3 linked regions of the Rattus norvegicus genome follow. The protein of the gene in region 1 purifies or fractionates together with the protein of each later gene. This does not show direct contact. Links are inferred from orthologs where the notes say so. Each region holds a gene or a part of one and is shown on either strand. Other genes may lie near its edges. The genes, in order: Rhou, Pak1 and Nck2.

The links.
Region 2: the proteins of Rhou (region 1) and Pak1 purify together in Homo sapiens (co-immunoprecipitation; 5 studies listed by BioGRID and IntAct, with this or other methods). This does not show direct contact. The link is inferred for Rattus norvegicus from reciprocal best matches to the Homo sapiens genes RHOU and PAK1.
Region 3: the proteins of Rhou (region 1) and Nck2 purify together in Homo sapiens (co-immunoprecipitation; 3 studies listed by BioGRID and IntAct, with this or other methods). This does not show direct contact. The link is inferred for Rattus norvegicus from reciprocal best matches to the Homo sapiens genes RHOU and NCK2.

Annotation. Positions count from the first base shown.
Region 1 is NC_086037.1:68,545,409-68,549,058, forward strand, and holds the end of Rhou (rho-related GTP-binding protein RhoU), read left to right. Parts: intron 1-706; coding exon 707-1,162; 3' UTR 1,163-3,325; downstream 3,326-3,650. UniProt on the Homo sapiens protein: Binds to and activates protein kinase PAK1. Plays a role in the regulation of cell morphology, cytoskeletal organization and focal adhesion assembly during cell migration. Also stimulates quiescent cells to reenter the cell cycle.
Region 2 is NC_086019.1:161,623,388-161,627,037, forward strand, and holds part of Pak1 (serine/threonine-protein kinase PAK 1), read left to right. Parts: intron 1-867; coding exon 868-980; intron 981-2,623; coding exon 2,624-2,741; intron 2,742-3,650. UniProt on the Homo sapiens protein: Protein kinase involved in intracellular signaling pathways downstream of integrins and receptor-type kinases that plays an important role in cytoskeleton dynamics, in cell adhesion, migration, proliferation, apoptosis, mitosis, and in vesicle-mediated transport processes.
Region 3 is NC_086027.1:53,293,835-53,297,484, forward strand, and holds part of Nck2 (cytoplasmic protein NCK2), read left to right. Parts: intron 1-1,042; 5' UTR 1,043-1,058; coding exon 1,059-1,284; intron 1,285-3,650. UniProt on the Homo sapiens protein: Adapter protein which associates with tyrosine-phosphorylated growth factor receptors or their cellular substrates. Maintains low levels of EIF2S1 phosphorylation by promoting its dephosphorylation by PP1.

The sequences.
Region 1 (3,650 bases):
TGACCTGCTCCAGGTCTCTGTACCACGGGACGGTTGTGCATACTCTGCAGTTATGTTGTCTGTCTGAAACACGGTGTGGAAGCTTAGCTGAAGGAAGGGAGAAAAGTAAGAGGAAGGGAAGAAAGATAAGATACAACCAGAACAAGAATGGATTAACCGTTGTCTGGGTGACAGTGAGGGAGGGTGTCTTTAAACTGCCACTGGTAGTGGTCTACATAGATCCCTGTTCTCACTTTGAAGTCTTTCATGTTTCTGAGGAACATGCGTCAGTACTGTGTGCTGGGGCTGGGGGATGAATCGACATCCTTGTGAAGTTGTGACCACAACTGTGTGTTGTGGTCAGGCAGAGCAGGGCTGGACCTCAGAAGGGAGTTCTGTTAATAGAACAGAGTTTAAGAGGTCAAGTCTCGGGCATCAGTGTGGATGAATACTGACTTTCAGAAGAGTCAAGTTCCAGGATTTAAAAAAGAGAGTTGGGGTCACTGTGGGCCAGAGCTCATCTGCTTTAAGTGCCTTTCTATAGCATATGACGTGGTAGTCACGGTCACCAAGAGCGTATTTGGAGTGTTAAGGCTGCACCTGTGTCCCAGGGCAGGCCCGAGACACTGGCCCCTCTTTATAGAAACAGGTTTTCTCTGAGTATCCTGGCCCTGAGGTTGCTTCCTAAGGTGGCAAGAGCTAACGAGGGCTTTGTGCTTGGTTTCAGGATGAGTTTGACAAGCTGAGGCCCCTCTGCTACACCAACACGGACATCTTCCTGCTGTGTTTCAGCGTGGTAAGTCCCACATCCTTCCAGAACGTGGGCGAGAAGTGGGTTCCGGAGATCCGACGTCACTGCCCTAAGGCCCCCATCATCCTGGTCGGGACACAGTCGGACCTCAGGGAAGATGTCAAAGTGCTCATCGAACTGGACAAGTGCAAAGAGAAGCCGGTGCCGGAAGAGGCGGCGAAGCTGTGCGCCGAGGAAGTCAAAGCCGTCTCCTACATTGAATGCTCAGCCTTGACTCAGAAAAACCTCAAGGAGGTTTTCGACGCTGCCATTGTTGCTGGTATCCAGCACTCAGACTCCCAGCAACAGCCAAAGAAGTCTAAAAGCAGGACCCCGGATAAGGTGCGGGACCTGTCCAAGTCTTGGTGGAGGAAATATTGCTGCCTGGCCTGACTCTTCTCAAACGGCTAGTGTTTAAGCTGCAACAGCTCTTTACAATGTGGCTGTGGTCATAGGATGAGCCCTCCAAGCATCCTCTTCCGCCCTCAACTTCCTGTGTGTGTGAGCCCAGGTTGAGATTCATATGCAAAATATGTTTAAAAAATTTTTTTGAAAGTTAAGATTTTTTTTTCCTCGTAAGTCTGAGAACTTAGAGCTCTGGATTAACTTATATTTCATATGAAAAGGGCTCTTCAAAGCTGGGGTGTCAGCATGAAGTCCTGTTTCGTTGTTCAGGACAAAGGAGAACGGGGCCTTCTCCTGATTAAGGGCTACTGAGTGCTCAGTGCGGGATGCGTGTGCATCAGACTTGGCGAGAGTGGGTGCGAACTTTGAAACCACACAAACCATCCCCAGTTTCATAAGAGCAAACATTTGAAAACAGAGAGGGGCTTCTGCTTACAAAACCTCGTGCCCATCCCTTCTGTTTGTTTACTCAGATTCACTTAGGATTTTAAAACAACCAAAACATCCCACAGCCTACTGGCATTGTGTTGACAGAACAGTACACTTGCTTGTTCCTTTTTTTTTTTTTAAAATCACGTGACCAGTTTTGTTGCTGTGAAAATGGTGGAAATGCCTCTTGGGGGGCAAGGGCTGGGTGCACATCTGACATTTTCTTCAGGGAGCGACTCGTGCTGAGATCAGAGAATGCTCTTAGCTTTCAGGACTTCAGGTCATCTTAACATGTGGGATGTACACACTTTGAACCCCAGTGCCTTCAGGGTCCTGTGACTAGGGAGGCACTGTATTAGGGGGGCAGGTATATGCAAGGCCTCACCCAGCAGCTTCTCACTGGGGGTCACGCTTGTGGCACTTGTCCTGTAAGGCGAGGGTCTTCTGACTGTTCTGAGACAGCCCTGTGTGAGGAATGCACTTTCACAGGGTTGGAGGTACTTCCAAGACGCCATAGGAACCACACGTGGGTCACAGCTATCAGTTCACTGCGGGCAAGAAACCTCTTTATGGCCACCTGGTAACAAAAATTTTTCTGTCTGTGAATTTTTTCTTACTATTTAAAAAAAAAAAATCAACCGTATGTTTTTCTATAGGAAAAAAAAGTAAAAGAGCAGGCCGTACTTCAGGTCAAAGACTTCCTCCTGCTGGTAAATAGGACTGAAGACTTTCTTACATAATTAAAAGGCTAATGGCAGAACCACTAGAGTACATGAACTGTTAGCCAGTGATATTAGCCATGTTCTCCTGATGTGTTTCCTTCTGGCCCGAGTGGCAACATTGTTTCACTCATGAAAATGCTTGTAACTGACCTGGTGACTGAGCTTATCCTATTGTGCGTGGCTGTCTGGAGAGCCAGCCTACACGTGGGGCTTTTGCCTGCCCTGTGTACAGAGGGTGGGTGGGGAAGAGTGAGTTATTTAATTTTAAATGTTATAATAAAAAAGCCAATGTAGTCGAGACCAAGGAGATGAGCATCTGAGGACACAAACTTGAAGTCATGGGCCAGGACTGTTGGACCTCCTGCCTCTGGGAAGTGTCGTAAAAAGGACGCTGTGTGATCGAGTTCTGGACACTATTCTGGGATGCATACCCCTGGACTGTTTATGCCACAAATGTAGTGGGTTGACACTGACTGGCAAGTTTTCGATGTTCCTCCATCCTGTGGAGTCATAAGTAAGGTCTGACTGTACTTGAGGTTTTCCTGCATTTTTACGTTTTGAAAATAGAAGTTTGGGCTGAGAAATTTAAAAGCATGTGCCTGGGTGGGATTAAAGTTGGTTCTCTTCAAAGCTGAAAAGCGGCTGGAGGCTCAGCCTGGTGTCTGGGAGGATTCTGTGAGCTGTGTGGAGAGGTGCCTCTTCAGCCTTGCCTCGGTGTAGGCCGACTCACCTCACCCGAAAAGCCACACTGTAGCAGGCTCCAAAATCGTCACCTCAAGCCTGGGTGAGAGCAAACTTTCGATGACTTTGTTTTCTGCTCGACAGACGTGCAAGCAGCTACCCAGAAGTCTCAAGCCAAAAGGGGGGGCTTCGCTCCTCTGCAGGTGCCTTACCAACGTGTGCTCTTCTCTTTCCCGTGTCAAAGATGTCGGACAGGATCTTGTACTTGAAAAATGCTATAAATGAGATGCTATGAAATAAATTCTGACCTGTGGACAGAGCTGCTCTTGTGTATTCTACTGAAAGAATGGAAGCTAAGGTATGCGTTGGCCTGGGCAGGTTAGGAAGCTTCCTTGTGTTCAGGGAAAGCATCTACTATTCCATTTACTCAACACGGCCTTGTGGGCTCTGGGCTTGGTGGGATGGTGGCGACCCTCTGCATTTTGTTTGTTTTGTTTTTTGTTTTCGAGACACGACTTCTCTGTATAACTTCCCTGGCTGTTTTGGAACTTGACTTGTAGCAGGCTGGCCTTGAACTCACAGAGATCCGAGTTTGCATTGAGTGCTTGAATTAAAGGTTTGCCACCACGCCCGGCTCCCCTCTG
Region 2 (3,650 bases), on another chromosome or scaffold:
TCTGAGGATTTAATGAGATAAGTGTGGTGGCATGTGCCTTTTAAGTTCAGCAGTTGGGTGGCAGAGGCAGGCAGATCTCTGTGAGTTCAAGATCAGCCTGTCTACTTAGTGAGTTTTAGGCAAGTCAGAATCAGGACTACATAGTGAGACTCTGCCTCAAAAAGAAAAGAGAAAGAAAGATAACAGATTTGTCAACACTTTAGAAAGAGTACCTAATACCTAGGAATCTAAAGTATCCTTATCGTTTGTATTAAGTGGGATTGTATTTGACTTATATAAACACAAAGTCCATGAAGATCCTTTTTGCATATAAACATTAGGAACTGCTAAACCATTTCTCCAGCCCCATATTCAGAACTTACTATTCTTTTATTTTTTTAAATTGACTTTCTTTGAACTTCTCGTAGTTTGTTTTGTTTTTCTCTGTCATTTGAAAAGACCGTCTAAACTATGAAACCAGGCTGGTCATCAGTGTACAGTTCTTCTATCTCAGCCTTCTGGGTGCTAGGATAATAGGTAGTACCAACTGTTTTTCTACTGACTCTTTAAAGTGTTTTTTTACATTGAGGTATCAAATTTTGATGTATATCAGAATAGCACAGGGGCTCATTAAAACAGTTTGTGCTTTTCAGTAGGTTTTGAGTAGCACCTGAGAACATTTATTTCCAGCAGTCTTTGAGAAGATGTTAAATGCCACTGGCTAAGAGACTTCCTTCGAAGCCATTTAACATTGATAAGTTATGAATAGTTTAGGGGTAAGACCATGTCTAGCTCATTATTGTTTCCTTAGTATTTAAGGTCTAGTACTAGATGTGTGCGCAGTAAATGTTGTGGCCTTGGTACACATTGGATTTACTGTTATTTCAGGTGGCCATTAAACAGATGAACCTTCAGCAGCAGCCGAAGAAAGAACTCATTATTAATGAGATCCTGGTCATGAGGGAAAACAAAAACCCAAACATTGTGAACTATCTGGACAGGTATGGCATGGGTGGGTTCTGTCACAGATGTTTCAGGCCTTTGGAACCTAAGTGTTAAAGGAGAGGATGAACCGCTTCCATTTAAGTATTTTCTGTGCTGAGCTCCTTGATGCTGGAATCCTTCTGAGTGATGGTTAACCCCACCACCCCTCAGCTTCTAGCAACTAATTCTTTTACTGTGCCTTCTGGTTAGGGAAGTAGGCCTTTTCAGCCCATCTGCCTTATGTCCTTGTTTCATTCTGTATTCCAAGCATTTCCTTACCCTGCTCACCTTCCTGAATAACTCTTATTGTCTATATTCTCTTAAAATGTGAGGCTCACTTCCATCGGGTGTTGTTCTGAAGTCTGACTGCCATAGAAGGAATGATACTCTTTGTTTTCCTAAACTCAACATAAGCTCATCCATCTGCAATCCCCCACCCCAATGCCTGCCTCATTGTTAACTACGAGTAAGTTTGTGGTCAACTGAAATTTATTACCATTTCCTGCCCATATAAACTTGCATTAAACTGGAAATACAAAATATTTTAGCTTACCAGCCTCAACCTCCTGACTGCTGGGATTAATACATGCACCACCATATTTACCATATACTGTTTAGTCTCTATCACCTTAAACTACTGTCAAGCTGGGGTGTGATTACTATTGTAGCTTAGAGATAGAATGCTTGACTAGCCTGTGTGAGGCTCTGAGCTAGCACCACCAGAAGAAAATTACAGAACAGAATTAAAATATCACCTTTGTTTGAGGTAAGTGTTAAACTATCTCAAGTGTCCTCGCCTACTGAGTAAGAAACCCATTTTTAGGATGAAGAAAAGATGACAGAACTCATACCTTAAGCCAACACACGTCTGTTTTCACAGCATAGTAAACCTGTATAGACTTTACAGCTTTTAAAAGATTTATTACCAACCTTTCACTTGCTACATATGTTATGCTGGATTATATTAAAATTATATATTATATATATATATATTTAACATATTATTTTACTCAAGGATTTATTAAGTAAATATTGTTATCATATTGGTATCTGCTGTGCTGGACTAGGGTCTTGAACAAGATCCAATAATTATCTTATGGATCTCAAATCATCTAATAGAACTCTCAAGGAGGTCCTGTGGCCCTCCCTTTTGATGGTAATATGGCTTCCAGGTCCCTGCCTTTTCACGTGTGTGTACTGCCTAGATGCTTTGCAGGCATGGGAATAAAGCCAGTCTTTCTAATTTTAGGAGCTATCCTTTGGTATTTGCTAAGATGTGATATTATATTTTATTTTTTTTTTTTTTTTTTTTTTTTTTTTTGGTTCTTTTTTTCGGAGCTGGGGACCGAACCCAGGACCTTGCGCTTCCTAGGTAAGCGCTCTACCACTGAGCTAAATCCCCAGCCCCTATGTGATATTATATTTTAACCTAGTATTTTTAGTTTTAGTGTGTGGGGGACTTCACAGACCATGTATGCTTTGTTTTTTCTGGGTATATACTTAAGCTACTTAAAATTACTGATTCTGCCCTCCAAATTTTTCTTCAAAGGCTGGCTGAGATAGTTTTCTTTATATTCTAGGTCCCTAGGTTTTGAAACTCACTTCAGTGGCATAATGTGTTCTGACTGTTCCTTCTCACCCTATACCTGTCTTCCTGCAGTTACCTTGTGGGAGATGAGCTATGGGTTGTCATGGAATACTTGGCCGGAGGCTCCTTAACAGATGTGGTGACAGAAACCTGTATGGATGAAGGCCAGATAGCAGCTGTGTGCCGAGAGGTAAGGCCAAAGATCAAACAGGAAGTGACCTCCATATTACCGTCCATAAAAGTTCACACCCAAAAGAGGCTTCAGCATGGGCTCTGTCATAGTAGGAGAAGTTAGTTCTGGGACTTATCATTCACTTTGTATGCTTGTGTTTTATAATTTCTATAATCATGACTTTTTTCTCTGAAGCTAACTGTTCTGACCATGGCAAAAACATTAGAAAGTACCCAGAAGTATCTACTTAAACAGTCATAATTTCAATCTGTAGTTATAACTCTTCTAGCACATACTATTTTCCTTCATCTCTTTTATTTGGACACACATTTGTCCTTGCTTCCTGATTTGTGTACTGTGAATGGAGGAAGTTAACATTGCTAAGGAGGTAGTGGTGTGGTTCAGATAGCTAGTCAGAGAAGATTTCTTCCTTGATTTGAATATGCATCTAAATGACGTGTAGAGGCAAGCCAGCAAAGTTCTAGGATAAAGTAACTCCAGACAAAAAGCCTAGTGTGGTGGCATATACCTGCCATCCTGGCACTGGGAAGGTGGAGGCAGGAAGGTCAGAAGTCTAAGATAATCTTTGATTACATGGCAAGTTCCAGGCCAGCTTGAGATACAAGAGACCCTGCTTCAAACCAGTAAATAATCATAATTTTAGACAAAATAAACAGAAAAAAGGAGCATAAATAATACTTTTTTTCCTCATTGTAGTTAGATCTCTAGAATTCTGTGATGCTGTAATAAACTTTCTAGCAAGTTCCCATGAGAAGCAGTGTCAGCAGAGGATAGGCACATTTTCACATTTCCAAGTCAGAAAGATCATAGTGGGAATAAACAATGCTGAAGTCTGGGGTTTGGCTCTTGAGAGACTGAGGCAGGGTTTCTCCGTGTAGCCCTGACTGTCCTGGCACTCTCCCTTTC
Region 3 (3,650 bases), on another chromosome or scaffold:
GAACAGCCATCCCACGCAGCATTGTGGGAGCCTAGGAACCTGGTCAGGTGTCAGCAGTGGATGATTCTTGCTAACGTAAGACTGGATGATGCAGAGATGGACACAAAAGCTACAGAGAACAGGGTTCCCAGGGACTTCAGTAAAGTTTGCTCAAAGGAGACCCCATGTCCAAATCCACATGCCCAGCCTTTCTGGCCTCGCTGCCTGCCTTCAGGTCTAGGAAGCGTCTGCATTTTCTTCTGCTCTTTCCCTAGCACTTAAACATCCCACTGCCTTAAACCAGACAATTGGTTTAGCAGTTCACCTCCTGGAGGGTATCTTTGGTTATTTCCCAGTTTGGGCAATTTGAATAAAGAAGTGAATATCCAAGTATTGCTTTGTTTTACGGTATGATTTTATATTTATAGGAATAGTTCTGTACAGTTATTTATGCAGGAAATTAGCCCCTAGCTAATTTCTCCAGTGTTAACATATTATATTGAATTGTCAAAACTAGCTAGCCTGGGCGCGTCGCTGTTGTCTAGGCTTTGTTTACATTTCAACAGTGTTTTTACAAATTTTCTTGGTGTATTTTACCATCCATCTCCAAATACCTCAGTGCATTGGTAGTACATTAATTGAATTTGAGTTTATAGGAGTGGTTTGGGTGTGTTATATTTATTAAATATCTTCAAAATCCTCAGCATGTGCTGAAAATAGGAGTGCAAACCTATCAGCTGTAAGGGCGGTGTCACTTGCCAAGTGAGCGCTTTAATCATGAGATTATTATTCTGAGTGTTTTGCCCCCAAGTTCGCATCTAGCGTCAGTAAATGCGCAGTGTGCTTAGTGCACTGAGAGGGGCTGCAGGCTTTGATTACAAGATGCTGTTTCTCAGCAGCACTAGGGCCTACGGGTAGGTCATTCTAAGGGCAAGTGCTTCAAGGGGCTGAGAGGAGACCGGGGGCAGTGTGGCCATGGGAGCTGTCGTTGACAGCTTTTCAAATCTGTCAGAGGAGAGGGGTTCAGGTAGCTAATGAGCATCTTTAAATGTTTTGCTGGCAGAAGGGCTCCATGAAAGATGACAGAAGAAGTCATTGTCATAGCCAAGTGGGACTACACTGCCCAGCAGGACCAGGAGCTCGACATCAGGAAGAACGAGCGGCTGTGGCTGCTGGACGACTCCAAGACGTGGTGGCGGGTGAGGAATGCGGCCAACAGGACAGGCTACGTGCCTTCCAACTACGTGGAGCGTAAGAACAGCCTGAAGAAGGGGTCCCTGGTGAAGAATCTCAAGGACACGCTAGGTGAGTGTCCATACCCCACCTGGAATAGCAGGTCGTCCCACAGGAACAGCCAGGGTTAGCACTGCTGCTTCAGTGTGCGTGTGCGTGCATGCGTGCGTGCGTGCGTGCGTGTGTGTCTGTGTCTGTGTCTGTGTGTGTGTGTGTGTTAGATACGTAGTGTGTGTATGCATGTGTTGTGTGTGTGTGTGTTATGTATGTAGTGTGTGTATGCATGTGTAGTGTGTGTGTGTGTGTTAGGTATGTAGTGTGTGTATGCATGTGTAGTGTGTGTGTGTGTGTTAGGTATGTAGTGTGTGTATGCATGTGTAGTGTGTGTGTGTGTGTTAGGTATGTAGTGTGTGTATGCATGTGTAGTGTGTGTGTGTTAGGTATGTAGTGTGTGTATGCATGTGTAGTGTGTGTGCGTGTGTGTGTGTGTGTGCGTGTGTGTCTGTGTCTCTGTGTGTGTGTCTGTGTTAGATACGTAGTGTGTGTATGCATGTGTAGTGTGTGTGTGTGTGTGTGTGTGTGTGTGTGTTAGATACATAGTGTGTGTATGCATGTGTTGTGTGTGTGTGTGTGTGTGGTAGGTGTATAGTGTGTGTGTACGTGTTGTGTGTGATAGGAATGTGTGTAGTGTGTGTGTGTATGTGGCTGTGTATACAGTGTGTTTGTGTGTATGGAGTAGGTATGTATGTATGTTATGGGGTGTGTTATATGTGGTAGGTGTGTAGTGTGTGTGTAGGTGTGTGTGTGTGTTAGATATGTAGTATGTGTTTGCATGTGTAGTATGTGTGTATGTGTGTGGTAGGTGTATAGTGTGTGTGTATGTGCTGTGTGTGGTAGGAATGTGTGTAGTGTATGTATGTGGCTGTGTATTCAGTATGTTTGTGTGTATGGAGTAGGTGTATATGTTGTGGGGTGTATATGTATGTGGTAGGTGTGTAATATGTGTGTGTGTATGGTAGGAATGTGTATAGTATGTGTATGTATGTGGCTGTGTATTCAGTGTGTTTGTGTGTGTGGAGTAGTTGTAGGGTGTGTTGTATATGGTAGGTGCATAGTGTGTGTATAGGTGTGTGTGTATGTATGTGCTATGTGTGTGTATGTGTAGTAGGAGTGTGGGTAGTGTATATATGTGGTGCCTGTGTGTGTGTGTGTGTGTGTGTGTGTGTATGTGTATGTGCTGTGTGTGTGTATGTGTGGTAGGAGTGTGTGTATGTATGTGGTGCATGTGTGTGTGTATGTGTATGTAGTGTATGTGTTTTGGGGCCGGTATTAATGTTGATAGCCTCCTACCTTCTGGGGTTTTATATTGAGATTAAGATAAACACTAATCATTCTCTGGATAAATTATACAGTTTGGGATCTTGGGTAAATCAACTCCTCCTCATGGTGCTAAGGACCCCTACACAGCTGTCTGTCTCCTTGTATCCAGACAGTAGAGGACCCTGACTTAGAATCATGACAAGTTTAGTAGCTTTTTCTGTCAGTGTATCACCTTTTATCTTACAAATTCCCATGCTGGCCTCTGCACACAGAAGGAGAAGGCACTTCTCCCCTCGTCTTCGGTGATAGCATAGTTTATTCTACAGTTTCGGGCAGTTGGTTAATGTGTAGTTGGGGTGATTAGAAACATGACATCAGAAGTCTCTCAGATGGATACCTCCATAAGCCCTGTTTGGTTATCACATTCTTCATAGCTGTGCCTCTTGTCTTCCTCTGGTATATTAGTTCATTTCCTGACACTGTAACAAACTGCTTGAGGTTAGGCTATATAAAGAACACTGCTTAATTTGGCTTACACTCATGGTCCAAAGTCAAGTGGCTGTATGTATATCTCCTTCTTGGCAAATTTTCAGTATGGTACAAGTTCCTTATGGCAAGAGACCAGGAGGGATAAAGAATTGTATGTGTGTGTTTTTGATACTGTTCCCTCTGTAAACAGAATTTATGCAACTGCTATCACCCAAAGGCCCCACTTCTAACCACTGTTATAGGAACCAGTTTCTTCTTTCTTACTACCTCTGTAGGGGATTAAATTCAGCACAAGGTAAGGAGATACATTCGAACCCCAGTAATCCATAGCACCTGATCAGACAGGGGTTCGCTACCTCAGTGGTAGGGAAGCATACCTGAGTGTGTACATTGTCCTCACCAACCATGGTTACTGCCTCAGATTGTCTGAGAATATAATTGGGAGGGCTCTGTGGAAGGACAACTGAACTGAGCTGACAGTTTACAGTTGCTGCCTCCTCAGGTAAAGTATAAAGTTGTCTATAGGCAACAAGGCCAGCTCGCCACTTGAGGTTTGTTGTGGAAGTAAGCCAGTATCATCACCTGGGCTGAGTGTATGTAGGCTTTTTTGTGTGTTACTGGAAGAGAAT